Mus musculus: one gene and its partners. The protein of the gene in region 5 interacts with the protein of the main gene of each other region in a pairwise test. Links are inferred from orthologs where the notes say so. Each region holds a gene or a part of one and is shown on either strand. Other genes may lie near its edges.

Evidence for each region.
Region 1: the proteins of Bag6 (region 5) and Efemp1 interact in binary tests that used the Homo sapiens proteins (3 or more experiments, as listed by UniProt). The two-hybrid records come from large-scale screens. The link is inferred for Mus musculus from reciprocal best matches to the Homo sapiens genes BAG6 and EFEMP1.
Region 2: the proteins of Bag6 (region 5) and Cdkn1a interact in a two-hybrid assay, tested with the Homo sapiens proteins (2 studies listed by BioGRID and IntAct). The link is inferred for Mus musculus from reciprocal best matches to the Homo sapiens genes BAG6 and CDKN1A.
Region 3: the proteins of Bag6 (region 5) and Dnajb11 interact in a two-hybrid assay, tested with the Homo sapiens proteins (2 studies listed by BioGRID and IntAct). The link is inferred for Mus musculus from reciprocal best matches to the Homo sapiens genes BAG6 and DNAJB11.
Region 4: the proteins of Bag6 (region 5) and Atxn2 interact in binary tests that used the Homo sapiens proteins (3 or more experiments, as listed by UniProt). The link is inferred for Mus musculus from reciprocal best matches to the Homo sapiens genes BAG6 and ATXN2.
Region 6: the proteins of Bag6 (region 5) and Spp1 interact in binary tests that used the Homo sapiens proteins (3 or more experiments, as listed by UniProt). The link is inferred for Mus musculus from reciprocal best matches to the Homo sapiens genes BAG6 and SPP1.
Region 7: the proteins of Bag6 (region 5) and Serpini2 interact in a two-hybrid assay, tested with the Homo sapiens proteins (2 studies listed by BioGRID and IntAct). The two-hybrid records come from large-scale screens. The link is inferred for Mus musculus from reciprocal best matches to the Homo sapiens genes BAG6 and SERPINI2.

Annotation. Positions count from the first base shown.
Region 1 is NC_000077.6:28,851,920-28,856,004, forward strand, and holds the start of Efemp1 (EGF-containing fibulin-like extracellular matrix protein 1 precursor), read left to right. Parts: upstream 1-1,285; 5' UTR 1,286-1,405; intron 1,406-1,894; exon of another isoform or gene 1,895-1,997; intron 1,998-2,545; 5' UTR 2,546-2,554; coding exon 2,555-2,635; intron 2,636-4,085. UniProt on the Homo sapiens protein: Binds EGFR, the EGF receptor, inducing EGFR autophosphorylation and the activation of downstream signaling pathways. May play a role in cell adhesion and migration. May function as a negative regulator of chondrocyte differentiation.
Region 2 is NC_000083.6:29,092,365-29,096,568, reverse strand, and holds the start of Cdkn1a (cyclin-dependent kinase inhibitor 1), read right to left. Parts: upstream 2,801-4,204; 5' UTR 2,708-2,800; intron 1-2,707. UniProt on the Homo sapiens protein: Plays an important role in controlling cell cycle progression and DNA damage-induced G2 arrest. Involved in p53/TP53 mediated inhibition of cellular proliferation in response to DNA damage.
Region 3 is NC_000082.6:22,864,345-22,867,844, forward strand, and holds part of Dnajb11 (dnaJ homolog subfamily B member 11 precursor), read left to right. Parts: intron 1-1,109; coding exon 1,110-1,207; intron 1,208-2,575; coding exon 2,576-2,708; intron 2,709-3,500. UniProt on the Homo sapiens protein: As a co-chaperone for HSPA5 it is required for proper folding, trafficking or degradation of proteins.
Region 4 is NC_000071.6:121,791,609-121,795,108, reverse strand, and holds part of Atxn2 (ataxin-2), read right to left. Parts: intron 172-3,500; coding exon 1-171. UniProt on the Homo sapiens protein: Involved in EGFR trafficking, acting as negative regulator of endocytic EGFR internalization at the plasma membrane.
Region 5 is NC_000083.6:35,134,179-35,138,299, reverse strand, and holds the start of Bag6 (large proline-rich protein BAG6), read right to left. Parts: upstream 2,801-4,121; 5' UTR 2,782-2,800; coding exon of another isoform or gene 2,672-2,781; intron 2,653-2,671; exon of another isoform or gene 2,296-2,652; intron 2,186-2,295; coding exon of another isoform or gene 2,173-2,185; coding exon 2,065-2,172; intron 1-2,064. UniProt on the Homo sapiens protein: ATP-independent molecular chaperone preventing the aggregation of misfolded and hydrophobic patches-containing proteins.
Region 6 is NC_000071.6:104,433,614-104,437,910, reverse strand, and holds the start of Spp1 (osteopontin isoform 4 precursor), read right to left. Parts: upstream 2,801-4,297; 5' UTR 2,715-2,800; exon of another isoform or gene 2,697-2,714; coding exon of another isoform or gene 2,663-2,696; intron 1,720-2,662; exon of another isoform or gene 1,537-1,719; coding exon of another isoform or gene 1,523-1,536; coding exon 1,469-1,522; intron 1,371-1,468; coding exon 1,335-1,370; intron 1,011-1,334; coding exon of another isoform or gene 1,008-1,010; intron 257-1,007; coding exon 176-256; intron 1-175. UniProt on the Homo sapiens protein: Major non-collagenous bone protein that binds tightly to hydroxyapatite. Appears to form an integral part of the mineralized matrix. Probably important to cell-matrix interaction.
Region 7 is NC_000069.6:75,267,279-75,271,234, forward strand, and holds the start of Serpini2 (serpin I2 precursor), read right to left. Parts: upstream 2,801-3,956; 5' UTR 2,761-2,800; intron 720-2,760; 5' UTR 705-719; coding exon 458-704; intron 1-457.

The DNA of each region.
Region 1 (4,085 bases), on a different chromosome or scaffold from region 5:
AGCAAGTGGGTGTGCAGAAAGATCACTGCACTGCAGATGGAAGATTGGGAGCTTTTTACCTCATTGCTCCAAAGAACGAGCTGAAATGAGTTTAAATAAGCAGACACATAGAGAGATATTTTTACTGTCTGGTAACAGAGAATCTGTTTTTTCAAAGAAAAGCGGTTTGGGGACATTGGTGACAAGTAGGGTCAGGGAAACTTAGTAGTAAATGTCTTTGCTACAGTCATCAACGCCTTCCATACTTAGTAAGTTCTGCAGATCTGATCCTGTGCAGTACTGGATAGCCTGTCACCAGTACTGGTCAGGATCACCATTGGATGTCAATATCTACTTAACCCACCCACCCAGAAGACAGAAGAGCCGTAATCACCTGAAAGCTGCTCTCCAGCAGTCTCTACCAACTTGCCACTTCCACAGCCTCTGCAATATGCCCCTGGACAGGGCAGTCCTTAGCTCCTCCAAGTTAGCAGGTTCTGTTACTTCTCAAATTGCATTTGGTGACTTCGTTCTTAAAAGGCATATCTGAAACCAAAGGGAAGTAACTGCCTAACTGTGGGGTGGGAGAAGCTATCAGGAATAGCTGCAATTTGTGTGGTATGACTTGATAAAGGGGGGTGGGGCGGGACTCTCTCTTCAGATTCCTGAAATTCCACCATTATTATGAAAGACGCAAGAAAAATGCCTAATTTAATTTGGATGGGCAGTAATCAGGAGAAATGAGAAACTGTAGATAAGGAAGGAAGGAGAGGAGTTCACACACACGGACACACACACACACACACACACACACACACACGGGGTTGGGGGTGGAGGCAAGACACACACCTCAGGATGGCACATATTTTGTTAACATGAGTTCCATTTGGCTCACTCCTAACACCTAGCACCTAGTAGGCCCAGAAATGAACACGTTCATTCTCACCTTTCACCATTTGAGGAAGCTGACAAAACACACCCCCTCCAAAAATAAAAATCTGAAATGAAAAATAAAGGACCAGTTCTGTTAATAGCTTTAATTTATTCTCCCAGGAATCACTTGTTGAGCTAAAAGGAATTTAAGCCATTTCTGCAAAGTCTAAAAGCTCCATGGAAGTGATATTTCGATATTAGTTGTGTCTCAAATTCCTGTGAATCAGGGTACCAAGGGGCCTAATGCAGAGGATAACTGGGCCCCTAGACCCCAACGCCAAAAGGCGCGCCTTCCCGCGTGGTTGGAAGCCTGGGCAGGGCGCTTGCGCCTCCCTCTCTCTCCTCCGCCCCCCTTCGCCCTACTTCTCCTCCCTTTTTCCTCCTCCTGTGGCTGCTGCTGCAGCCAGACCTCGCCAGTTCAGACCTACCAGGCTGCCCTCCCCTACGCACTCCTTCGCTGCCCGGGCAGGAAAGTTGCGCGGCCCCCCCGCAGGTAGGAGCCCAAAGCCGAGGTCGCAAGATCTGCGCTATACCAGCGAGAGCTATACCGGGAAGTATGGTAGGGCGACCCAAGAACTGTCCCCGACTGTGAAACTGTACAGAGAAGATGGAGGTGGACTTGCTGGTCTGGGATCACAATCTGTCAGCCTGTGCCAGTACTTGGGTGACATTTGTTGGGATAGGTAGAGTAAGCGCGCTATCAACCCAGAGAGTTTTGCTGGTGACTCTGGTCTCTAGGTTCCGTGACTGAGGTATGGGATTTGAAAGGCACCTGGATTGCCCAGCGGTTGGTTGGAAGCTAAAGCGCTCAAGGACTCCCGCTGACAGACGCCTTACATCTAAGAAAGCTGAGCTCACTTCCCTGCAGGCATCAGGCTAGGAACCCCCTCCCCCAAACTGGTTCCCTGTGCTGCAAAGCTGTCTGAAGTCCTCCTACCTTAGGCAGCCTAGACCCTGTGCATAGCACATTTTGAGACCTGAGAACGAGGGGAAAAGGGATCAGTGACTTTGAGCTGCTGATTGTGCGCCAAGAGTGTGTATGGAAATGGAGCTTTAAGAGTGGGAACTAGAGAAGTCACCCTGCAGTGAGTTAGAAGCTCTGTGGGGTATTCTATCGGGAACTGTGAGATCGATAGCTCTTCGAGTTTTGTTTGGGTATTTTAGACTTTTTTTTTTTAAGACAATAAAGTCTGCGGGCATATAACTGATACTGGTTTGCAGGTATCTTTCGCTGAGCTGGGTGGAACTTCAGGTACAGCTGAGCCGTGGGTGGGTACTCTACAGTTTCAGAAAATAGACAGATGCTGCGCCCCCGTTTCCACCTCCAAGGGGGAAGAGGGATGGAATCGATCATATTCTATATCCCCTTTTGACTACCGTTTTCTGGAGCTTTATGAGTAGGTGTGGTATAAACACACGCTGAACAACCTTGGTACAGGATGGATGCAGTGAAGTAATGCATTTCTACTGTAGTTTCTCCTGTCTTGCTTATTTGGGTGGCTGGTGAGAAAGCAGACTGGAAGGAGGGTATTTGGAGCTCTCCATTCTCCTTTTCTTGTCAGTTTCTTCACTGATAAAGTTTTGATTTTCTAGGCAGTTGATACTAAACATCTCTTTGTCCCATTTCCCGTAGAGAATCACGATGTTGCAAACACTTTTCCTAACTATGCTGACTCTGGCGCTGGTCAAGTCACAGTACACCGAGGAAACCATCACATACACGGTAAGGCATGATGACATTTGAGATACAAGAATTGAGTAGTAGTCTGGGATACAAGAATTAACTGGTCTCTGCCAGGACAAGTGGGCAGTATTCTGCGAAGCAAAATAAATTAAACAACACTTTAATATGACTCAGGTTTAGGACTCCTGGTAAATCGTGCTGGGTCTTTTCAAAGGTGCATCTAGATCACCTGCGATGAATGGTTTGTAAGCTAGATGCAAAATAAAATGATTTGTGCAAAGCCAAAAATGAACTCTTTTAAAATTCAAATCTGTGTAAGCTCCATATTTCGAAGACATGCAATGAATTGATGGGTTTGAGGACTCTGGGAGCCTGGGTATGTGCAGATGCAATCAATATATGCAGAATAACACGCAAAGCAAATAAGAATGTATGGTGTAATTACACTAGCTCATCTGTGCCTGTCCTCGTGAAGTTCTCATTCTTGGATTCAGAAAGGCTGTCTATTCATGTAAAAGTACTGCAGATAGTTTAACTGTCACCAGCAGACAGTATTTGCCAACGTGGATTTAAAGCACACTGTGTGCATCTTGGTCTTGCAACTTCTATTTGCATCTCTGGCATTTCTTAGTCATATTTGGCCAGTTAGTTGCGTCAGTATAACCAATGTTTAATAAAATATTTAAAATATCATCTAATCCCTCCCACAGCCCTAAATAGACATGTCAGGAGAGGGCAGAGCAGGCTCATGTGGCTGGGATGAGGCCTTTGTTCTGTGTTGTTTTCTAACTCTCATTCAGTGTTCTGAGATGAATGACATTTGTCCTGGGTGAGTATATGAAAAACACATTTTCATACTTCTTTCCAATTCTTAAAATTAAGTAATCCTATTCAAAAGAGTATAAATGTTTTTAAAGTAAAACTCAGAAGTGAGCTAATATCAATTACTAATAATAAACATTATCTCACTTTTGCATCATGTTATCCCTAGAACAGTATTACCCGTCCTGCAGATGTTCCCTTCTGCTGCTCAGAACAACTGTAAATAAAATTATTGAGTAAAAGTATTGTGTTATTTTAACATTAAAACAAATAGAGGAAAATGAAAGTATGTGCTGTTTATCTTCAAATGAGGATGTTTTGTTATTCAGGTTAAACTTACTGCCCTCTCAGTGAGTTAGGATTAAATCGTCTACTTGTATATTCAGTAAAAGAGTTTACTCCTTTTCTGAGAAGTTGTCCTGGAACTCATTATGTAGCCCATTCTGGCCTTGAATGCATCATCATCTGTCTTAGTTTTCTAGGCAGATATTATCACTTGAATTGCTTATCTCATGCCTCCTCCATTTCCCCATCACCTACAACTTATTTGTTTTCAGTAGAAAGTATCCATTGTGGTTTAAGCCCTTCAATTTTAGAATTGTAATGAAGGCCTTCCAGATATGATGCCCATTTTGTGCTAAGAGATGACAGATTAAGCCTATTCTTT
Region 2 (4,204 bases), about 6.0 Mb from region 5:
GATTCTCAAGGTGCAGACCTCAGAGGCCTAAAGGACCTCAGATGGCCTCTGCCTACAGGTAGAGCTTGGGGCCTATTCACATCCTTTAGTACAACTCAGTCATCCTCCTGCCTCTGCCTCTAGTGTGCTGGGATTGCAGTTGTAAGCCACCAAAAGCTATCGTTAATAGATGGCAATATCACATTCTTTTACGGCAGAGCTAATCCAGGTTCAGAATGTGTGTCCAAAGGCACAGGGCTCACAAGCGGGGTTTGAATTCAGACCCTTTTGGTCTAGTATTGATCATTCTCTCGTCTTCTCACCTTGAGGGGCATGACCAGAGGACTCCATTAAAATCAGCTGGAAAAGCTTTTTTATTAAATATAGACTGAGCTCCATGTTATGGGGAGAGTCTTTAATCCCAGCACTCCACCAGAGGCACGTGATCCTTATGAGTTCCAGGCCACTGGGCCAGCCTGTCTATATAGTACTGGTAGCTGGGGCCATTTTGTAAGCTTGTCTCTCTGTCTCTGTCTCTCTTTCACACACACACAGAGACAGAGAGAGAGATCTATATAGATATAGAAATATAGATTGGCTCATTTCCCCAGACAAACTGAGCCGAAAAACAAGTTTGGTGCCCTTCCCCAGACGGTAGCTCACAGGGGCCAGAGGAAGGAAGGGAAGACACCAATGGACTCGGCTAAGGCTGGATAGTCCCCAGTTTTTCATAGCTGAAGATAAGACCAGGAACCCAAGAGGGGCACGATCTCCACCTTGTCTCTCAAGGGCCACGCCTCCCTAATAGTCCGCTAGCACACCCTGCTAAAATCACTTGTATCTGGCCATCAGGCATATTTTAATTCCCTTTAAGCCGCGGTGGGGGTGGCAGAAGCCCGTGGTGCCACCCGCGCCTAGCCGGCCTTGCAGTCCTCACTGATGCCGGTAGGGGGCGCTGTGCACTCAGGAAATGGCGCTCGGTAGGCGGCGCGTAGGCCGAGCAAGGAGTGGTGAGTCAGTTTCCTGCCCGGCGCTGCCCGCCCGCCAAAACTGCTTGGGCACCGGAGCTGCGCGTCACCCTGGGGTGGAGAGAGGAGAGGAAAGGAGGGGGACCCCGGGCCACAAAACACGTCACGATGAGCCCAGGCTTCCTAAATTCCCGCCTATGTTGGGAAACCAGACTGAGCGCGCGCGCGCGCACGCATACACACACACACACACACGCACGTACACAGACACACACACACACACACATACGCACGCACGCACACACGCACGCACGGACACTCGAGAGCAAAGAAAGTGCTCTTAGCTCTGGCCCCCTCCACCTTGATCTCCACGCCCAAAGCACGCGATGAGTCAGATCCCTGGAAAATAAAAATAGATGAGGGCGAGGACAACAAAAAACCGCCTGAGTGTCCTCTCTGAAACGCGACGTAGGGGACAGAGGAAGCTGCCAGCGCGCCCCCAAATGCCAAACCCAAGCCCAAAGTATTTCCCGCACGACCAGGGTGCAAGTGTAGCCCTTGTCCCCGGAGGTTCCGAGTGGAATGGATGTGCCCTAGTGGGCGCACTCAGCCTGGTCACCTTCCTACACTGGGTGTGGACTGGGTCGAGGGCCCCAGCCCCGGGGCGTCTGATGTACGGCACCCGTAAGCCTCACTCCGCGAGGATACCGGCCGCTCTACAGTGCGGGCTCCTCTCGCGCCCCACGGTCACTGGTCCGGGTCGTGGTGGGCGCGGTGGGTGGGACCCTTTGCGCTTCCCGGGCTGGCAGGGTGGACAGGACCCGCCCAGACTCCCTGTCCCCGAGGGCGCGCCGCCGAGCGGGGACCGGACACCGCGTCCTGGACCTCCCCGTGTCCCGGGTTCCCTGGGAACATACTGTGCCCGCCAAATAGGTCACTGTGCCGCGCGGGGGAGGGGACGGGGCAGGAACGAGGCTGTACCCGGGCAGGGAAAGGGGCTTCTGGGCTGCCACTGACCCATCCCCAGTTGTGGCGCGATTCTGGTCTCAATCCAGTGCCCGGGGTCTCCTTGTCACAATGAGTCACCTCCTCGCCTGTCCTCTAGGACGTGCCCAGGCACGATCCCGAGGGCGGAGGACACAGCTCGCGCTGACCTCAGAGCCCAGTGGGGTGGTGGCTACCGCGAAACAGGGCACTTGGTTCACAAGGACCGGGGATCCGGCGGCACCCATGGGATCGGAGAACCGCTCTGCGCTAAGCTCTAGATAGACTCGCCGAAGCTTGTCACAACCGCCACCCAGGACCCATCTCGGGGCACCGTGAGCTTCATTCTCACGCTTTGGGCGAGCCGCACCTGGAATCCCTAGAAACATTGGCAACCAGAAGCGAGCTCCCGGTAGCCGATCCCCGCCAGCCATCGCTCGGACCCGGTCTCCAAGGACTGGAAGAGTGGCTGCCATCCGTGGTCCTGGAGTTCAGACTCTGTATGCCGAGTCCGCGACATAGCCTGACCCTCGTCACACTCCAACAAACGAAGCCTTCAGCCACCACGGACGCTCAGACCCACACCCGTCATCCACCTGCCGCGGACACACCTGTGACTCTGGCGGGCACGCACAAATACACATATACACACACAGGTGATCCACTCATCACCACACACACACACACACACACACACACACACTTCTGGGGACACCCACTGGGCTCAGCGCATTGCTACGGGGAAGAACTATTGTTCCCTGCCACGAAGCTCTCACCTCTGAATGTCTGGATATCGCTGTGGATCTGCGCCTGACTCCAATTCCCCTAGACTCTGACACCGCGGCGGCTCACACCTCTCGGCTGCTGCAGTTGGCGTCGAGCTGCCTCCTTATAGCGTCGGCCCAGGCCCCGCCCCCTCAGAGGCAGGACCAACCCACTCCTTCACCGATCCCGGGGACTCGCTGGCCCGCCCTCCCCTCTGGGAATCTAAGCCCGCGCCAGACAGCTAGAACCGGCGCGCGTTAAGAGGGCGCGCCCTCCCCTCCCCCACACCTGGGCTATTCTCTTGTCACGCAGCGCACCAGCAGAGCCACATACATCTATGAACAACAGTACAGTTAGAGCTGAGTGAGTGTTTATGGGTCTGTCCCTGACCAACTGTGGGAAGGACTAACTCTTTTCCAGATCACTGATATTAGTAAATAAAATCCTGGGTTTCGGGAGGTGGGTCTGTTGGTACAGTGTTTGCCTAACTTGCTGGAAGTGAAGCCCTGGGTTGGAGCTCCAGGGCCCCATAAACTGGGCATGCGGGGTCACGTCTGTAATAACAGCGCCCAGTGGGGGGTGAGGAGGGGGAAATAGGCATTCAAGGTCGTTTTGACAGCTACCTATTCCGATGGAGACCAACTTGAAATATGTGACACTGTTTCAAATATAAATAAATTGATCATTTGAGTATGATAGCAAAAGCCTGGAATCCTATACTTGGGAGATTGAGGCACGAGGGGCGTTACAGGTTCAAGACCAGCCTGGGCTATCCATTGAGACCCTCTCAAAAACAAAACAAGCCCATAAATAATAAAAAATAGTTTAAAATCCCAAGAAGTCCCACTATGTCTGGAGATTTTTTTCCCCCTCCTCCCAGAAGCCCCTCGGACATCGGGTCCAGAACGCGATCATTTCCTCCCTGTCTCACAGACGAGGAAAGCAGTTCCACAGAAGGAAAGGATGCTGTCAACCGCCTCAGAAATCGGGGAGATTGAGTCCAGTTCTCAGACCACGGACTACCAAGAAAAACAGCCGCCAGGCTCCTTACCTCCCCTCTCCCCTCTTCAGAAGCCAGCATGTGAACATTTCTCACACCATAATACATCCTGCAAGTGAGAGCATCAAGACCTGACTGGGACCACACTAATGGCTACCTGCTGACCTCTGGCAAGCTGCCCAGAGTACTCTGCTTGCAGATTTCTTTCTCTGGGTCCAAAATGAGGGAAATGTCTAATACTCCCCCTCCCAAGATCCAGACAGTCCACTAAAATGACATTGATAAAGGACAATTCTAGAAACATCTACGGATGTTCCTGACAGACATAGCAGTAAGACATTCTCCGTTCCCACCTTCCTCCATGTCTCTAGTCAGTTTTATTTCCTTCTGTTTGGGGTCTTTTGAGACGAGGCCTCGCTATGTAGCCCAGGGTGGCCCTCATATTCAAGGCAATCTTCCTGCCTTAACTTCCTTGCTTAGAGTTAAGACTACAGGTCTGAGCCATCAC
Region 3 (3,500 bases), on a different chromosome or scaffold from region 5:
CCTGAGCCCTTTTTAAAATTAAGTTTTAAACTTAACAGAAAGTGTGGATTTCATTGTGGGAGTTTCCTACATAAATATTTTATACTTAATTTTTATTGGTCCCCTATATACATTTTTTCTTCTTGCACATTGAAGGCAAATTTTTACATGCTTAGAAATTAATTTTTTTCTTATGCTCTTTGGATCATACAAACATTACGCAAAGTTCTTTCAGGCAGTAAAATTGACTTGAAGGTACATTTATAGAGTAGTGTTTATTGATATTCTTTTCAACAGTTTGAACTCAAGACATCACAAAGTTAGACACGTCAAGGCAGACAGCATTCTCCTACAAATGGATTTCTACACATACGAAAGCATGGGAAAAAACAAACAAACAGTGTGAAAACACAGCTGTGGGAACAGCTCTGGATTTTTCTTCAGGGCCATGATCCTGTTGTTTTGGCGTGCCAGACGTCTCTGTACAGTGTGTTGTGCAGGAGCCGGAGAGAGGCAACTGTTTTTAAGACAGTAATTTAGTGCATTTGTTACTAGTGATGGTCTTTCATGGGTATATTCTAGTTTATAGTTTAGTGACATAGTACTGCACAGAGCTTACAGAATAAGCCCTGGAATTAAATTACCCAGAAAACCAACTTGAGCAGTCAGTCTCCCTTCTTTCCTGCTACCTTCTTGACCTTCACAGTCCCATGCTTAAATGCGGTTTTTAAAGCACTCAATCGGATTTGACAACTTGAAAGGATAAGTTGGGCAGCATGCAGTAGGCAGTACCCCAAAGAATCCAGTCTGCTCTAACAGCCTCCCAGATGTGTGCACATGTCCAGACTCCTTCTCAGGAGGCTAGGGCAAGAACATGAGTTTGAGGCCAGCCTAGGCTACATTTGGAAGTCTAGGCAAGCCTGAGTCATATAGCAAGGCCTTAGCTCAAAAATCCCCAAGAAACAAACAAAAATAACAACTTTAAACAAACCTTAATACCACACACAATGAAAATCACACTCTCTGCGAAGCTTTAGAAACTCAGGGTCAGAGTGGAAAACAGCTGTGAACGTGAATGTCCTTTAACTGACTTAGAGCATGACATTTTCTTCACTGGCATTCATCCCCAGGTTCTGTCAGATAGTGAAAAACGAAAACAGTACGATACTTACGGTGAAGAAGGCTTGAAAGATGGCCATCAGAGCTCTCATGGGGACATTTTTTCACAGTAAGTAATTTGCCCATTTGCGGAGTATTATATCCTGGGACGGGACCCCTGGGCACTAACTGAATTGCTCTTGGAGACAGAGGGCAGAGTTGCCTCTCTGTCATCCTGTGGACAGGAGAGGGGTGGCTATGACAGGCACCATCAGAAAAGGAGTTCATAGGGTCTCTTCATCTCCTGTCACTCTTGGCTCACTGGGAATTCGGGGTAGCTGCAATGCTAATAAGAACTTCTCCTCACTTTGACCCAACCCCTCCTTGTTAGACATTTGACTCTCCATGCATCATAATGTCTTAACTGGGAGATCTACTCCAGAGTTCAGCTCTGTAGTTATAAACAGGAAAATGTGTGAGTCTGCACTTGTATGCCATGAACGTCCATTTCTTCAGATTCTCAAAAGGCTTCTAGAGCCTCCCCTCCAGTAAGAGTGCAGTTATAAACAATAGCTCTGTCTGTTGAGCTGTCAGGGAAGAGCCTCTCCCCTGCCCATCAAAATGATGCTGGAGATGTCAGAAAGAGGAGCGCTCTGTCCTGCTCCGCCCTCTCCTCAGCAGCAGGCTCCGGTACAACTGAAAAACACGTCTTTATCCATCTCACAGTCATTCTTCTGTTTCCTTCAAACATTTGACCTTGTGCAGGCCAGGACTTACTGTTCCCTAAGGACGGGGACTGCCCCAAGGTTTTGCTTTCCAACTTTAAACAGGTGCCCAAGGTTTTTGTAGAGCGGTAGCTTCTTCATCAAGGTTAGTGATCTCTAAAGAGCAGACTTAGTGAGCACACGCAGTCCATTCAAGATGTTCAGGATTGACCTTCAGGAATTTCCTAAGTTAGCCTGGGCATAGTGTACAAACCTTTACTCCTAGGCAGAGGCAGGTAGATCTCTGAGGTTGGGTCCAGAGTGGTCATTCGAGCAAGTTCCAGGTTAGCTAGGGATACATAGAGGAGCCCTGTCTTGACAAACAAACAAAAAAAAGAAATTCCTTACATTAACCAAAAAGTCTGAATTGCACCAGATTAAATATATTATACCCCCTTTCATTATGTCTATAATATCTGGATTTTCCTCAGTATTTGAATGGATTATTCCATTGATTGAGTCCAACATTGAATCCTTTGATATACTGTGCATTAGTGTCTGGCTGTTATGTATGGGACATATTGTATTAAACAGTAATTTGGGGGTGGGGCAGCAACCTGTAAATTAAATTATGTAAATTAAAATTTGTATTGTATTTGGACCCAGTATATTAAGAATATCTGTTTTGCATAGTGTGCTGGCAGGAACAATATTTTATCAAGGGGAAGAAAATCAACAGTTGTGAGACTTAGGATCCGAGTCCTTTCTCCTGATGAGTTTGCCTGTATCCACAGCTTCTTTGGAGACTTTGGCTTCATGTTTGGAGGAACCCCTCGTCAGCAGGACAGGAATATTCCAAGAGGAAGTGATATCATCGTAGATCTAGAAGTCACTCTGGAAGAAGTGTACGCAGGAAATTTTGTGGAAGTGAGTTCACACAGTACACCTACCCACACTGACCCACAGAACTCGTACTTTTGACCACAAAGCAGAGAGTTTCAAGTGCTTTGTGTCTTTTAGAGTATGAGAGGGAGTGGCTGACACATACATAGTTGAAATCATCAGAATCCTTACTTAGTTCATAGTAGTCACGAACTGAGCTCACTACCTAGCCTGAGAACTCAGTGAAACTCCCAAAGAGTCCTACACGTGAACATCGCTGTATGTACTCTAGTTACACGTGAGCGGGGATGTCTCCATCATGGATACGTGTGAAAGTAGAATTGCTGGGTTGGGTCCACACATTTATGCTTCACACAAAAGTGCCATAGTATGTTTGAAATTGTCCAAGTCAATAGTCAGCATGCCACGGCAGTTCATGTTTGCTCTGCCCCTGTCCATACGGAATAGTCCCTGTTCCCTCCTAGTTATTACGTGGGTATGGGATTACTGTGGTCTTGGTTTGTGCTTCTTAATTTCCAACTAGGCAAAACATCTCTTTCATTTGCCCTGTTTGTTTCTTCTTGTGACATGCCGTTTCACCATGTGCCCCGCTTTGTTGATTTCTGAGACTGCTTCATTTTTGCTCTTAAGTTTTTGTGAGCCGTAATGCAGATATAGTTATCCATTTATAATATAACTTATCTTTACACAGTATTTAAGATTTATTTTAATTAGTACAAGTGTTCATTTTAATGTGGAAAAAGTCTGATCTTTAATTGTTAATTTTAAAAGTCTGCTCTAACATGAGAAAGTTCTTCTGGGTTCTCCAGTAAAATT
Region 4 (3,500 bases), on a different chromosome or scaffold from region 5:
GTTGGTCTTGCTGCTGCCACTGGTACAGTTGCTGCTGCTGCTGCTGCTGTCAATGAAACTATCCTTAGCACTTGCTTCCGTTTTATCTTTAATCAAATCTCGTGACTTTTCTCCTTCTCTATTTTTGCTTAGTAGTTGATCCATAGATTCAGATGTAGAGCTTGGCTGTAACTAAATATAAGAAATAATTTCCCATTAAGTATAAGCCAAGTAGTATGTGATGGCAATGAAAATACTTTGAATAGGTTTTCTGTTTTCATTATTTTCAGAATATGGCCTTTTTGGTGGACTTGTCTGTTTGTTAAGACAGAACAGGGTCTCTGTGTGTAACCTGAGTGTAGCTGTACTGGAACTCTCTATGTAGACCAGGCTGGTCCTGAACTCACTGTGATCTGCCTTTCTCCGCCTCCTGAATGCTGGAAGGAACTAAAGGCCACCATGCCTGGCTCAGAATATGCATTTTTCAGGCACAAATAACAGAATGATACACAACACAATTTTAGGAACCAGTATCCAAGACTAGTTATTAGCCAGGCTGAACATGGTGGCACAAACCTTTATGTTCAGCACTCATGAAACAGAGGCACGTCTGAGAGTTAGAGACCACCTTAGTTTTTACATAGTGAGTTCCCAGAGAGCAAGCAGGGCTATGTAGAGAGACCATGTCTCAACCTCCCGCCCCTGTCGCCCAAGGCATAACAAAAAAGAATTAACTATTAGACTGATGGTGGCTCATGCCTGCAATTTCAGAATTGGAGAGGCAGAGGCAGTGGCTGACAGTGAACAAGATGCAACAGTTCCGACTGCCTAGACACAGGAAGGTGGGAAGCTACCATGTGGCGCAGAAAGAAAAAGCAGCCTCCATGAAGGAATAGCTCCTGAAGAGATCAACATCTAATCTAAACAAAAACTAATTTTAAAATCCCAACAGCATGAGAAAGGGGAAAGGGAGAGAACAGGAGATGGAATGTGCTCAGAGTGTATCATCGACATTTATATGAATGTGCTTATGAAACCTAGGACAATATACAATGACCATACGACAACTTCCTAAACTTAAAAATTAGGGCTGCAGTGATGGCTCAGTAGACATTTGCACGTTCTGTTTTTGCAGAGGACCCAGGTTCAGTTCCCAGCACTTGCATGGTCACAATCTCTAAAATTTTAGTTTCAAGGGATCTGGTGTCCTCTTTGGGCTCTGGGTACAGGCATAAATGTAGTGCACTTACATACATACTGTAGTGGCTATTCCTGGTTGTCAACTTGACTATATTTGGAATGAACTACAATCCAGAATTGGAAGGCTCACCAGTGACCCTTCTCTGGAGGCTGGGAGATAGAAGTTTCTGACCTGGATCTTAGTTGTTATGGAGATCTTGAGGCATAGTGGCTATGGATTCCAGAAGATTAAGACAGGTAGTTCAAGGTCATCTGGGATTAAAGGTGTGGTGGGACACACCTTTTATCTGGGCTACACCTTCTGCTAGAGACCATATAAGGACATTGGAAGAAGGGAGTCTCGCTCTTGCTCCTTCACCTGCTTGCCATGTGGGACTGAGCAACTGCTAGATCCTTAGACTACCATTCACAGCTACTACTGAACCATTGTTGGGAATTGGGCTGCAGACTGTAAGTCATCAATAAATTCCTTTACTATATAGAGACTATCCATAAGTACTGTGACTCTAGAGAACCCTGACTAATACACATACATTCAGGCAAAACACCGGACACATGAAATAAAAATGAATCTACATAAAATGCAAAGAGCTGAAGAGATTGCTCAAGCCTGAAGATGTAAGCTCACGGGCACACACCCACATCATACAAAAACATGCTAGGAATAAAATTTTAAAAAAGCATTTTCCACTTCTTTCTTTCTTTCTCTCTCTCTTTCCTTCCTTCCTTCCTTCCTTCCTTCCTTCCTTCCTTCCTTCCTTCCTTCCTTCCTTCCTTCCTTCCTTGTTTTTTTGAGACAGGGTTTTCTGTATAGCCCTGGCTGTCCTGGAACTTAGTTTGTAGACAGGCTGACCTCGAACTCAGAAATCCACCTGCCTCTGTCTGGGATCAAAGGCATGCACCACCATGCCCAGCTCATTTCTATTCTTATAATGGCAAAATTACCTATAGATCCAAACTGTTTGTGTTATTTGTTTAATCCACACAATGGCCTAAATTTTGATGTAGGTACTTTTATGGCAAACCCATGGAGAAAACAGTGCAATTAAAATTCTGTAGGGAGGGGCTGATGAGATGGCTCAGCGGTTAAGAGTGCTGACTGCTCTTCTAAAGGTCCTGAGTTCAAATCCCAGCAACCACATGGTGGATCACGACCATCCTTAACGAAATCTGATGTTGTCTTCTGGAGTGTCTGAAGACAGCTACAGTGTACTTACATTTGATAAATAAACAAATATTTTTTAAAAATTCTGTAGGGAAGGGATATGTGTGTTTGGTGGGACTGGACTCAACTAGTCCACAGTAAACACACAGAGCTAAACCCCACCCAAACCCATGCCTTTTTGTAACTCAGAGAAAAGCAACTGTCAGGACCAGTCACCACACCTCGGCAATGTGAAGTCATGCCCAGTAACAAGCGTGGACCACAGACACTAGCAAGGGCAGGGCCCACAGTTATATGCTGCCACCTGCAACCCAAGTAGGTTCTACCAGTCCCTACTGTGCTTGGGACACTAGGCAATATACTGTGAAAGAAAAATCTCTATCTGCATAATCTCAGTTACTAAGCATTAACAGATCAGACAGAGAAATCCTCTGTATCAAATTTCCAATACTCAGCTATACTGCAGAGTGCAGACTGCTCTCAAGAAAAGGGCAGTTCAAAACCAAACCTCCATGTCACGAGGATGGCTGAACACTGCAGTACCCCAGAGAGCCAAGGCTTGCCCTTTCCTATCCATGGGGCCCTGGGCAGATGATTTAACCTCACTGCCTCAGTTTCCTGATGCACACACTGCAGGCAGTGACAGAACCTGCTTCAGAGCATCACTGTGACAGGAGGGGCTAGGACACAAGCAGAGAAAAGTGTCTGAAACACAGGAAGCACTCAGTGTCAACCCTGCCCTGGAACCCCTGCTTTGTTTCCTAGCATTTACTCACTGCCCAGGAGCTCAACAAAATAAGTATGATCCACTCCTAGAGACCGACTCTTGATGCCAGTGCTACCTGAACTTTAATTTAAAGAAGAAATGTAATGCCCAATTGTTAATTAATTAAACAAAAATTAAAATAATTAAATTCAGTTAAATTTATAAAAAAAAAGAATTTGATAAGATCTCAATAAGTAACAATGCTGTACCTGAAGATATCAGAAGAGTGACGACAACCTAAGCCCAAATCAAGGCTGGAAAAAATAATAAGTATCAGGACAGAGAAAGAATTCATTAGTAAGGTAGGGCCAAACAAAGAGAGTTGCAAACTAGTATCAGTGGTTGGAATATTAAGTAAACAATAAATAAAGAGCAGCCTGGGGGCTAGGG
Region 5 (4,121 bases):
ATGCCAACATCAAAATCAGACAGTCTCACTAGCCAACTATATCAACAGGCCGATATTTATTATGTCCATAAATAAATAAATAAATAAATAAATAAATAAAAGAGTGTGGCTAGAGAAATGGCTCGGTGATTAAGAGCTCATACTGGTCTTGCAGAGGACTCCAGTTCAATTTCCAACATCCACGTTGGGCAGCAGCTCACAACTACTGGTAAACACAGCTTTAGGAGACTCAGTGTCTCTGGCTTCTATGAGCGTTTGTACCCAGAGGCAGAGACACATACCAATACATAATTAAAAATAAGTGGGACGTGGTGTGTATGCCTCCAGCATTTGAGAGGCAGAAGCAGGTGGATCTCTTGTGAGTTTGAGGCCTGCCTGCTTTACGTAGTGAGTTCTAAAATAGTCAGACCAATGTACAGAGATTAAATTAATTTAAAAAAAAATCCAAATCACAACAACAGTAAATAACTAAAACCTATACGAAAGAAGCCGAATAGCTCTCCCTTTCTCCCTCTCTGCTATCCAGTATCTAGAGATACCAGTGATCCTTTTCTAAACTAAAACAATAGCAGGTGTTCAAGGCCATAATCTCAAAGCTGAATGCAGATAGACAGGCACTGGCACAGCCACTAATCTCAAGGATACAGAGCTAGGTGGATCTGACTACCAGGACAGCCATGACTGCAAAGTGAAACCCTGACTTAAAACACAAAATGAAGCAAGCAGGGCGTGGTGGCGCACGCCTTTAATCCCAGCACTCCGGAGGCAGAGGCAGGCGGATTTCTGAGTTCGAGGTTGTTACAACCATCTGTAACAAAGTAGGGGCTATAGTTTGGGGCTATAGTTTCCTAACTTCCACATGAAGAAAAGGCCACAGGTTGCAGAGTCTGACCTTCTCAGGCACCAAGTGCACACAAGGTGCACATGTGTATTTCCAGAGAAAGCACTCACATATAAAATAAAAACAAATACAATCTTCTAAAAGAAACCAAAAATACACACAACCCAAAACAACCATTACCACCATGGGGTTGGGAGGCAGGGTCTGGAAAGATAACTAACAAAGGTCAGAAAGGAACACACAATATACGGTTCAGTAGTAAGTGCTCTGTGCTAGGTCCAAGGTTCAGTACCCATCAGAACCACATACATGCAATAAATAAATAAATAAAAATAAGGGAAGGTGGAAAAAAAGAACAAACAAACCAAAAATAGCAATAGCATACAACTGAAATTCCAAGCTTGGAAAGCAGAGACAGGAGGATCATGAGTACAAGACCATCAGTTCTAAGACATTTCACTATGTAAGAAAAAAAGGACCAAGCCAAGTCAGATGTGGTCCTCTGTTATAGTGCATATAATCCTAGCACATAGACGACCACATAGACGACGAAGGCACAGTGGTCAGAGGCCAAAGTTAGCCTGGGCTATAGGAGATCCTGTGCCCACCTCCCGGAAAGACATTAAGTAATTCTTGGTAGGGCCAAATTAACTATCACATGTACCTACAGACAAAAGTCTATGTGGCTTTTTAAATATCTGCTTTAAAAACCACAAAAATGACCTCCTCATGGTGGTTGTCTCAAAGAATTATGCAGTGGCCACAGTGCACTAAGGTCAGGAGGCTCAAACCATGCCTCAGCTATTGACAAGTCTACTTCACAGTGGATGAAAGCAGGTTTCCTTAATCTTATAAAAATAGTACCAAGCTGTGAACACTCTGTTTAAAAAAAAAAAAAAAAAACCCACACCAAACTTGTCTGAGGTCCCTGTGACACACCATTCTTGTCCAAGGTGCCCCCTGTGTTGTGTCTGGTCCCAAAGGCCAGAGTCATGTCTGTCTCTTTGGGCTGGGGTCTGCACAGAACAGGTATAGATCCCTCCTCTCTACTTTCCTCTTCACTGAGTTCTGTCAAAGTGAAGACAGACTCCAAATCGGCCTCACTCAACAGTAACCACATCCCCTCACTCAATAGGTACATCAGATGTCCTATCCAGTAAGGGACAAAAGAGTCAATGACAAGAAAATCAGGCGCATCCTTCTACAAAGTACTGGTGTCTCACCTGGGCCCCCACAATAAAAGTCCGAGTCTGAGAGTCCAGGGTCTTCACCAGTACCTCCAGGCTGTCAGGCTCCTCCATAGCGGTACTGGCACTATCACTCGGCTCCATGGCCGACAGCTCTCTAAAGAAGAACGAGGGGGGGGGGTTCGCTGTCGGTCGCACTGTATTTTATACACCCGGAAGCCTCTCTGGACCCAATCTCCGCCCCAATCCCTTCAAAGTTTCTCATACACAAGCAGATATATTCATCCTCCTTCTCATCCCCCCTTTTTGATTCGGGGGCACAGGAACAGAAACACAAAGGGTAGGAGATCGACGGCATAGGGAGATGAAGGACGAGAGGTGGGAGGGGCTCCACCATGCCAATCACAATAGGGAGAGCCAGTTGGGCTAGGAATCAGGGAAGCAAGCACGAGACCGACCAGAGGCCAGTGTCATCACCGGTCGCGACCGAGCAAGCGCCCGAGAGATCGGGAAATCCTAGGACAACGCGAGGGGTGGGGGGAGGGTCGCGCTAGACTCGGCAGAGAAAAGTGGCTTCGCGCACGCGCAGCACCACAATCGAACCCGCCTAAATCACCACCGACCCAAGACCGCGGACACTCACGGGAGGCTGGACGGGCTCGCTGACCGCCCCCGCCTTCCGCCTCCGCCTCTCCTCGGTATTCCAGCAACACGACTTAACCAACACGCGACCAAACACATACAAACACACATACACAGCCCACCACCCTGTGGCTCCGCCCCCGACGTCCCCACGGTACCGTCACTTCCGGTCTCCCCCAACCTGGCACCAAGGGCCACTTCCGTTTCCCCGATCGTATTTGGGGGGATCTCGAGGCGGTACTTCCGGCTCCCCCAGTCTCCCCCGATTTACTTTCGTGGGGCACGATGAGAAAGTCCACAGCCCCGAACAGTGAGTTTCTGGGGGGCGAGACGGGCCCGGGCCGGCCGAGATGGGAGGGAGCCGACCACCCGGAGGAGCCGCCGCCGCCGCCGTCGTCGCCCGGGGGACCGCACTGCGCCTGCGTGAGCGGCGCCACGCGTGCGCACACTCTAAGTACTTCCCCGCCCCCCTCCGGCTATGTGCGTTTCTTCCCTGCGCGCGCCAGAGTGCAACCGGACCGGGGTGGCTACTGGAAACGCCTAAAGAAAAATGACTGAGTGAGATGCTGTAATTTCCTCGAGAAAAATTGTGAGACTTGTGTGGAGTGCACCTCGTTAATCAACGTCCCATCTTGATGGTCAGAGACGTTTACAGGCACAATTCTAACTACCTAAAACTCTGCAAGACCTCTGGTCCTCCCATCATTTCTGTTCTTCCGGAAGCCACTCTTTTTCGTGGACGGCTGGTGGCGTTCCGCGGGCTGTGTTTGCTTGTGCCCGACTCTAGTTCCTGGCGGGATTAGGCCGGTTGGGCTCTTTGCAGACTTTGAGCATCCTGTTTATTGAGATCTCCGAGGGAGTGCCATGTTTAAGGATAAAAAAAAATTCTATTGCATTTTTTGGTTTTGAGACATTTCTGCTGCTTTTTAAGAGCTTTGTAGAAAAAAAGAAAGAAAAGAGAACGGGTGCCTTGCGGATCAGATTAAAGGACAAGACTTTAAGAAGGGACCAAGGGAATGGAGAGATGGCTCAAGAGATGAAGAGCACTGTCTGCTCTTCCAGAGGTCCTGAGTTCAATTCCCAGCAACTACATGGTGGCTCACAACCATCCGTAATGAGATCTGACACCCTCTTCTGGTGTGTCTGAAGACAGCGACAGTGTACTCACATACATAAAATAAATAAATCTTTAAAAAAGGAAAAGAAAAGCCGGGCGTGGTGGTGCACACCTTTAATCCCAGCACTTGGGAGGCAGAGGCAGGCGGATTTCTGAGTTCGAGGCCAGCCTGGTCTACAAAGTGAGTTCAAGGACAGCCAGGGCTACACAGAGAAACCCTGTCTCAAAAACAAACAAATAAAATAAAATAAATAAAATAAAATAAAATAAAATAGAAAAGAAAAGAAGGAAGAAAAAGAAAGGGGATTGAAAGGCCCACCGCCAAGGGAGTTGA
Region 6 (4,297 bases), on a different chromosome or scaffold from region 5:
TGTATCTGCCGAGCCCCAAGGAGATCAGAGGACTACAACAGACCCCTGGAATGGAGTTAAAGAAGAATGTGAACTGATATCTAGGTTCTGGGAACTGAACCTGGGTCCTCTGTAAGAACAGCTCTGCCATCAATCCAGCCCAGCTGTTCAGTTTTGAGAAATTAAAACACAATACCTGTGGCGCAAGGAGATTCTGCTTCTGAGATGGGTCAGGCACCAGCCATGTGGCTATAGGATCTGGGTGCAGGCTGTAAAGCTATTTCAAAAAAAAAAAAAAAAGTATGCATTTGCTATTATTAAAAAAAGAAACACAGAGCTCTGTAAGCCATAACCTTAACATGAACAACGAGTGCTTATCTTTAGGAGTATATTCTTAAAGGCTTTTTAAATATTTTCTTCTGCTCCTACATCGCTGAAATTCTAGAAAACTGACTTTTGAGCTTTTCGGCTACATCCTAAATCCCATTTGATGACTTATACTGTTACTTCTTTTTAAAATGCATCCTTGTATTTAAAAATATTTCTCTTGTGACATTTTAAAGTACTAGTTATGGTCTCTCTTTCCTGTATGGAAATGTTAATTCTCCCATCTTGTTATTGTAGTTGAGCACCCATGTTCTCCAGACTGTTGGAAGACAGGCAGCCCCACCACCAGCTCACACATTCTGTGCACAAGTGCTTCCCTGACTGTCTTCGCTGAGCAATGAAACTGCAATGACGCTCTACACTTGGACCTGAACTCTGTGTGCCTTTTTGTCCAAGCACAGGGTCTGTGTTACACCAGCATATTCTTACCTATGTGGAGGCACAGGTATGCCAATGCTGCTGGTCTTATGTTGAAACATGTAAAGGTACTGGTTTGGTTTTCATTCTCATTTAGGAAAATGTGATCTAAAGTCAGCTAATAGATCCAAACAGCACAAATGGACTTTTCTTTTCAAGATGGACTTGGATGGTATTGTAAATATCATAGTCATATGATCAGCTCCAGCTGACATCTGAGTGACCTTCTAAAGTCAGCCTGCAGGATTTTCCAAGCATGCTGACTCAGGAAAGAACCAGTCACTCAAGGTCCTGTGACCTGCTTTATGTAAGTAGCAATTGTCTAGAACATGCTTTTATTATATTAAAAATCTAATTATAAGAGAATCTGTTTATTAAAAACAATGGCCGATTTGGTACTGTCTCTGTCTAAAATACATAGTAAGTACTTTGAAATACTCAGGTCTAATTATATAGATGAATAAAATGGCAACAAAAAATTGCTGTTCCTAGCAACCTTTGCGACGCTGGCGAACATTCTTCAGTTAAATGATCAACCCGGAGGTGCTTACCTTCTCCTCTGAGCTGCCAGAATCAGTCACTTTCACCTTTAAAACAGAAAAGTGACAAGGAAATGCGTGTGAGTGTGCTAAAGCTAAAATTCATTTGTTTTCAAGAATTCTCTCTAAGATTCAGCTGTACTCACCGGGAGGGAGGAGGCAATGCCAAACAGGCAAAAGCAAATCACTGCCAATCTCATGGTCGTAGTTAGTCCTGCAACATATTTTATGAGGCACAGTTGATGTCTTGTCAGGTTCAAACACACTCTTGGCACCACTAGATCACCACCAAGTCACCAATAATTTATGGAATCTTTCTACATCTCAGAGAAAATTTCAGTGAGTCAATATTTGTGTGCCTTTTCTACCTCTCCACCTCTCATCCTTAGCAAGGAAAAGGGCAATTTCACAACTCTATTCATCCAAACTTTACGTCTGGAGTCTCAGAGCTTATGCCCCCACTATCTGATGTCTCTAGAGCTCCACACCAAGATTTGTTTCACAGTAATCGAGTAATTAAAGCAACGAACTACCATGAGAGTACTTTCTGCAAGGAAGAAAAAGAGAAAATAGAATGATAAAAGAAAATTGCTTTTTCCATTTGCATTTCAAATGTGATTTTAACTTACATTATACAAAGCTGAAAGAAACAAAGATATCTTTGAATTTGAGTAAGATGTTCTATTTGGACTAATAATAATAATAATAACAACAACAATAATAATAATAATAAAAATAAAACACTGAGAGCAGGCAACAGCTTTTCTGTGCATGTTGATGAGTCTGTGTTATCACACAGGGACCTTAGTGAAAACTGTAAAAGCCAAGTGCAGAAGCGAGAAATTAAGGAAGGTTCTCTTTTGAAGTGAGACAGTTTTCTAAAAATAACTGTATCTGGTTTATATTAATATAGAGGATCCTCCTTTACTGGTCTCCACAGTCATCCAGCCACTTTAAAATGATGCAGACATTTGTTCCAAAGATACATAGAACTTTACAATGTGTGTGTGACAGGAGAGAGAGGGAGAGAGGGAGAGAGGGAGAGAGAGAGAGAGGAGGGAGAGAGAGAGGAAGAGAGAGGAGGGAGAGAGAGAGGAGGGAGAGAGGGAGAGAGAGGAAGAGAGAGAGGGAGAGAAAGAGAGAAAGAGAGAGAGAGATTACTAGCAGATCTCTCTCTCTCCTTTAGAGGACCAACTAGATTTATTTTAACTTCTACATCCAACTGGCTTTGAAAATACCGGGAAACCTGCAATGTACCTGACCAGCTTATTCAAAAAGACCAGAACAGCACGAGTCTGACTAACAAATACGACTGTTGAAAGAATGTTCTCTGGACTCACCCTCAGAATTCAGCCAGGAGAACTGCAGCCTCATGGGCCACTGCAGGCTTACCTTGGCTGGTTTCCTCCGAGAATGCCTGCCGCAGAAGACTGCAAACCCAAGCAAGGATGCTTCTTCAGTGTGAGCTGCTGGTGGCTCAGACCTCCCAGAATTTAAATGCTGGTCCAGACAGTCTCCACCAATCAGGAGGTGGAGTGATGTGTCATGAGGTTTTTGCCACTACCCGGCCCACCTGCTCCTACACTTCCTCCTCTGGTTTTGTGGTTAAAAAAAAAAAAAAGGAAGAAAAGGAAACACACACAAAGCATTACTGATGAACGATGTCATTAACTACCCTTTTCATTTATAGACTGCATTTAGAATCCCGGAAGAGCATCAGGGATCCATAAGGAAAGGAAGAGTAGATCACCCTCACAGAGACTTTGTTTATAGTTACTGAATTAGTAGAAAAACATCAATGGGGATGAAAGGTATGGATTCTCCTATCTAAGTTACAGATAAAGGCCACATGGATACACAATTTGATTCTCTCAGACTTACTTAAATCTAGAAAACTGCTGTCTCGGCAGAACTTTCAGACCCTCCCTTTTGCCTTTGTATTCGGTAGCTTAGGTTGGCCGGGCCACAGTGGCTCTGTTTTGTACTCCGGAAGATCACCATGAATTTGAGGCTAGCCTCGGCTCCATACTGTGTTCCAGGTCAGTTGGGGCAACAGAAAGTGAGACCCTCTCACAAAAGAAACAAAACCTCACAACAAAACGAAACAAAGTAACAACTCAGTTTTGACACTTGAGCTATGCAGCCGCTTGCTCTTTGTGCAAACCACACAGTGACCCTGAATTCCTCTCCTGCCTCCACTGACCTTTAGAGACGTGAACCTCGTGAACCTTGTTGCTCTGTTGGAGCAGCTGGGAGTGATGGTTCTGATGCTATCTAAACTATAATGGCCATATAGAGCAGAAGAGGTGGTTACTCCAGATAGAGCCCGCCTAAGCAAGCAGTTTGTGAGACTGGAATGCTTGCTGGGTGGGGAAGCTGCAGGAGCCAGACTGCCTTTCAGTCCTTCTGTAAGCAGTGCCAGGTGTGACCTTGGGCAAGTCACTTAGTCTATCTACAGGACAATGGATTAGTGTAAGTGCAGTTGATAGCACTTCACATTTTGCAATGCTCCTTCCCCCACATGTTAAAGAACGTGTATATTTTAACTATTACAGAAATCTTCAGCAGAGGCAAGGAGCTGAAATTTGTAATGCCTTTGAATTGATCTTTAAGCTGTACACGTTAAAGGGTTCTCTGAATATTTTTTTAAAGACACAGCTTATATTTCTGAATTATCTTTTTTGAGTTTTATTTCCTGGAATATATAAGGTTGGCTACTTAAAAAGATTTTAAAATTTGTATTAACAAAACGTTACTGAATAGTTAAGAGGTATTCAAATGAGATAAAATTATAGGTGAAGCAGACTTCTTTAAATATTTAATACTGCCCTGCAGTTACTTCCTTTCTTTTCCCGAAATGGAGAACACAGGCTTATTACCTTACATCTCCAATGTAAGAGGCATGCAGAAATTGAGATTAAAGTTAAGTCAAACCTTTGTTGTATTAGATATTAGTGCTACTTGCCAAACCCTGC
Region 7 (3,956 bases), on a different chromosome or scaffold from region 5:
TGAATTACATGTTAACTGTTCTGTAGCCTCTTGTAAAGTAGTGCAGTAGTTTTCTGAGGGAAGTTGAGAAACAGCTACTTAAGAAAGGTTTCCTAATTAATGTCTTTCCACAAGAATAAATAAAATGCAATGTTAAATTATATTTTGAATCAGTTCCATGATATTAAAAACCAGTTCATGGAAATACACAAACAGTTCAGAGAAAAAAAAACACAGACATATAGGGAATTTTATTTCTGTATAAGCCTCAATTTCTTAATAAAGTATTTTTGCTACATATTTAAGGAAAAATAATTATAAGTGAATAAAATGCACACATTATAATTATCTCTTTGGTTATAATTTGGTACTGTCTGTGTTTATTTTCACTTCTTGAAGTTCTGTGAGCTGAGCTGCTCCCTGATATCCACAAACTAAAGTGATTGAATCAACAGAGAGTTACAGGCAAGATGCTCACCTGCTGGGGTTCCCCGCATCCTTAAAGTCTTCAGGATCTGCTGTTGTGCTTTTCCTTTTGCACCTAGTTGGACCATTCCAAGAAGCATAGTGGTTCCAAGAGGGGAAAATATAATGTTGTTCTTGTGGGATAAAGAAATAGCTTTATAAAGATCCACTGCAAAGTCAGCAATTTTTTGGTCAGTCGCTCTTGAAGTTTGACTTCCAGAAAAAAATAGTAGAAAACTCCACAATATGGTCTTATTCATCTTGCGTTCTGTATACTAATTTAAAACATATCAGTTTTTAAAACAGACTTTAACATAGTAAGCTTAGCAGTATAGCTCTCATCTACTTGACTATTATGCATATATATATATATATATATGCATACACACACACATACACACACACACATACACACACAGCAAGTATTCTATATGAAATACTACCACAGGGAAACTCTATTTAGTGGCATCTTGCTGAATAAGTATTATATAATAAGAGAAGCCCACATGCTACTGGTACTAAGATCCTTCAAAATCTAGCAGAATCTATACCTTAATGTTCCTAAAAGCAATGGTAAAGCTCTACTCTCAGCTCATGGTCAGACAAGAACTTGACTAACTTGTTTTATGATTCTTTCTTTTCTTTTGACTTGTTTATTGGCACAGCTATGACTCTGACTCAAGGGAAACTTGTGTTCTGGTTACTTCAGAAGGTTTATAGGCCACAAGCAGTCGAACAGTCAAGTCAGTGCAGTCTAAGTCAGTGGGCAGCCTGGTTACCCCAAAATAGCCCTTCTATACTCTCTGAATCTAAGAGCAAAATGTCCCAACTCTCATTATATGATCTTCTATAGGAAGATAAATGAAGAGAGAAAGGAAAATGATAGTCAAATATACATGGTAAAATAATAACAAAGAATGAAATTGTCAAATGCTTTGATGAAACAATTAACAACTTTTGGGAAAACAGCAATAGAAATCCATAACCATTTACCAGGGATGCCCAGTTATCAATTGGTCACTAAGGCAATTACAAGAAAGTCACCTATCCGATTAGACCTTCAGTGAAAACAATTTTGAATGTTTCATAGAATAGTAATGTTTAGTTCTCATAAATTTCAGTAATACTAATTCTACTGTATAATAATAACCATCAATTGGCTGCTAGGAAGTGACCTTTCAATTGAAACAAAACTTGAAGCCTTTAGAATAGTGATGTTAGCCTTGAAGACCTGAAATATTGCTTTGCTATAGTTATATGGTAAGAGTTACTAAGAAGCTTTAGTAAAAGATGAAGAATAATCAAATAGCCTTGAAAAGTAACCTATAAGATATTATTTTGATATTTCAGATTTTTAATTTAAGTAGAAAAACTCTATTTGAATAAGCAGATTATTTTTAAAAAGGAAATAAATCTCAAAATATAATACAAAATACCTAATAGAAAATAATACGTTGATAAGACATGAATAAGGATGTAAATTGTTGTGTAGATGCTTTTTAAGGATTAAATCAATATACTAGGTTATAAAAGTACAAAAGTAAAGAGCATTTTGTGAGAGAAGGTTTACACATAAATGTTTGTCTATATATCATACTCTGATACATATACATACATTAACATATATATAATAGATAGATGATAGATAGATGATAGATAGATAGATAGATAGATAGATAGATAGATAGATAGATAGATTGGTTTTGAACATTTTAAGAATATATATATATATACACTTTTATGAATTTATATGCATATATATTCAATTTCTCAAAATAATCCTGACCCATGTATAGCTATGTAAGTTATTACAATGTTACCAGTGTTTTTCAAACAAGTTGGAATTTATTATATATATTTATGTAATTGGCCAACAATGGGATGACAAATATTTTGGGAATTACATAGCTCTCCCTGAAAATAGAGTCTTGGTCTTACAGTAATACTGATACTGTTTCTTCTCATAATTATAATGTACATCTGTAAGCAGTGATTTCTACCATAAATTGTCCAGGCACTTAATAAGTTATAGCATCAAGCAAATAACTGGTTTTAAGCTTTACTTACTCATTTCGTTTTGAATAATATCTTACCAGAAAGTGAAAAGAACTGAGAGATAGACAACACGATGTATAGTTCTGTAAGAATTCGACCTTTCTTCAATAAGCAATTTTAAGAGACTGAAAGTAATGTTTTATTTTGAAACAAGAAACATCAAATTATTCTTACACAAAACTTAACCAATGTGCCAGTTCTGTGTTTCAATAGACACAATAAATGTTACTAAATATCTATTTTTACTTTTATGGAACTTACCCAAAATTAACTTCTGATTATTAACTTGAATGCTGTGATTGAAATGTGCTTACTGGAAAACCCTCTTATATGAAGCAGCTTATTGGTGAAGGCCAACTATATTTATCTTAAACGCTGAATGATTAATTATTCCACAACCATAGCAGGTGTGCACTGTGCTGCCATGTGATCAAGTTAATGATAAATGATGAAATGTAAGTGAAAAGAAAAACAGTAAGACAAATTGTTAAGAATTATTATTATTATTATTTCATCTATTGTTTCATTTCCTTTAAAAGTATAAATGACTGGAAATATGGCAAATGTAACTAATGTGCTGGATTCTAATCGGACTTGAAGTCAGATTAAAATTCAACCCATCATAAATGCTTCAAAGTGCTTAGGAGGAGAAGAACAACTGAATCTAAGACACTTTACAACTGCCACAATTCATTAGCTTGTACTTTGCAAACATCAGAGACATTTCCTGAGTCCCATTCTAATAATTGGAAAAAGAGTAGATGTTGAATGTATATATATATATATATATATGTGTGTGTGTGTGTGTGTGTGTGTGTGTGTGTGTGTGTGTGTATCTATGTATATATTACAAGAGAACCAGAGTTAGATTATTGATTTACCAAATTATATGTGTAAAAGAAAACACTATTAATCCCAGGTAACATGGAAGTTACACTGAGGTAACTTACATGCAATTTTAACATTCCACATAACTTTCTCTACAAACCACCCATCAATAAAAAGTAGATGCATAATTCAATGGGTTTTATCTCATTGTAGTAGTTCAATTCAATCATCTCACTGGCAGGAAGGTATTAAACACATATATCATCCATATGGCCTCTGAGAAATGGAAAATTTAGTGTAGTTTCATTGAAGCAAACGTGACTATTGATCACCAAATTTAATAGTATTTCTGTTAACCTCATGAGAAGGAAATAAAATTATTCATATGCACCTTAAAATGAGTTCCTTAAAGGAATACATCCTCTAAAATATTTATCTCAGACTTGAACCTTATTAATATTTTCTGTGGCATGGCCCAGTGACAGACCTAAATTATTAGGACAAGGAGAAGTGAACATCTCCTAACTAGCATAGTTTTACTTGTTTTAGCATTATAGATTAAATCTAGATTGCATTTCACACTAACAAATACCTCCCCCACTGACCTATGTCTTAGTCCATCAACCAGG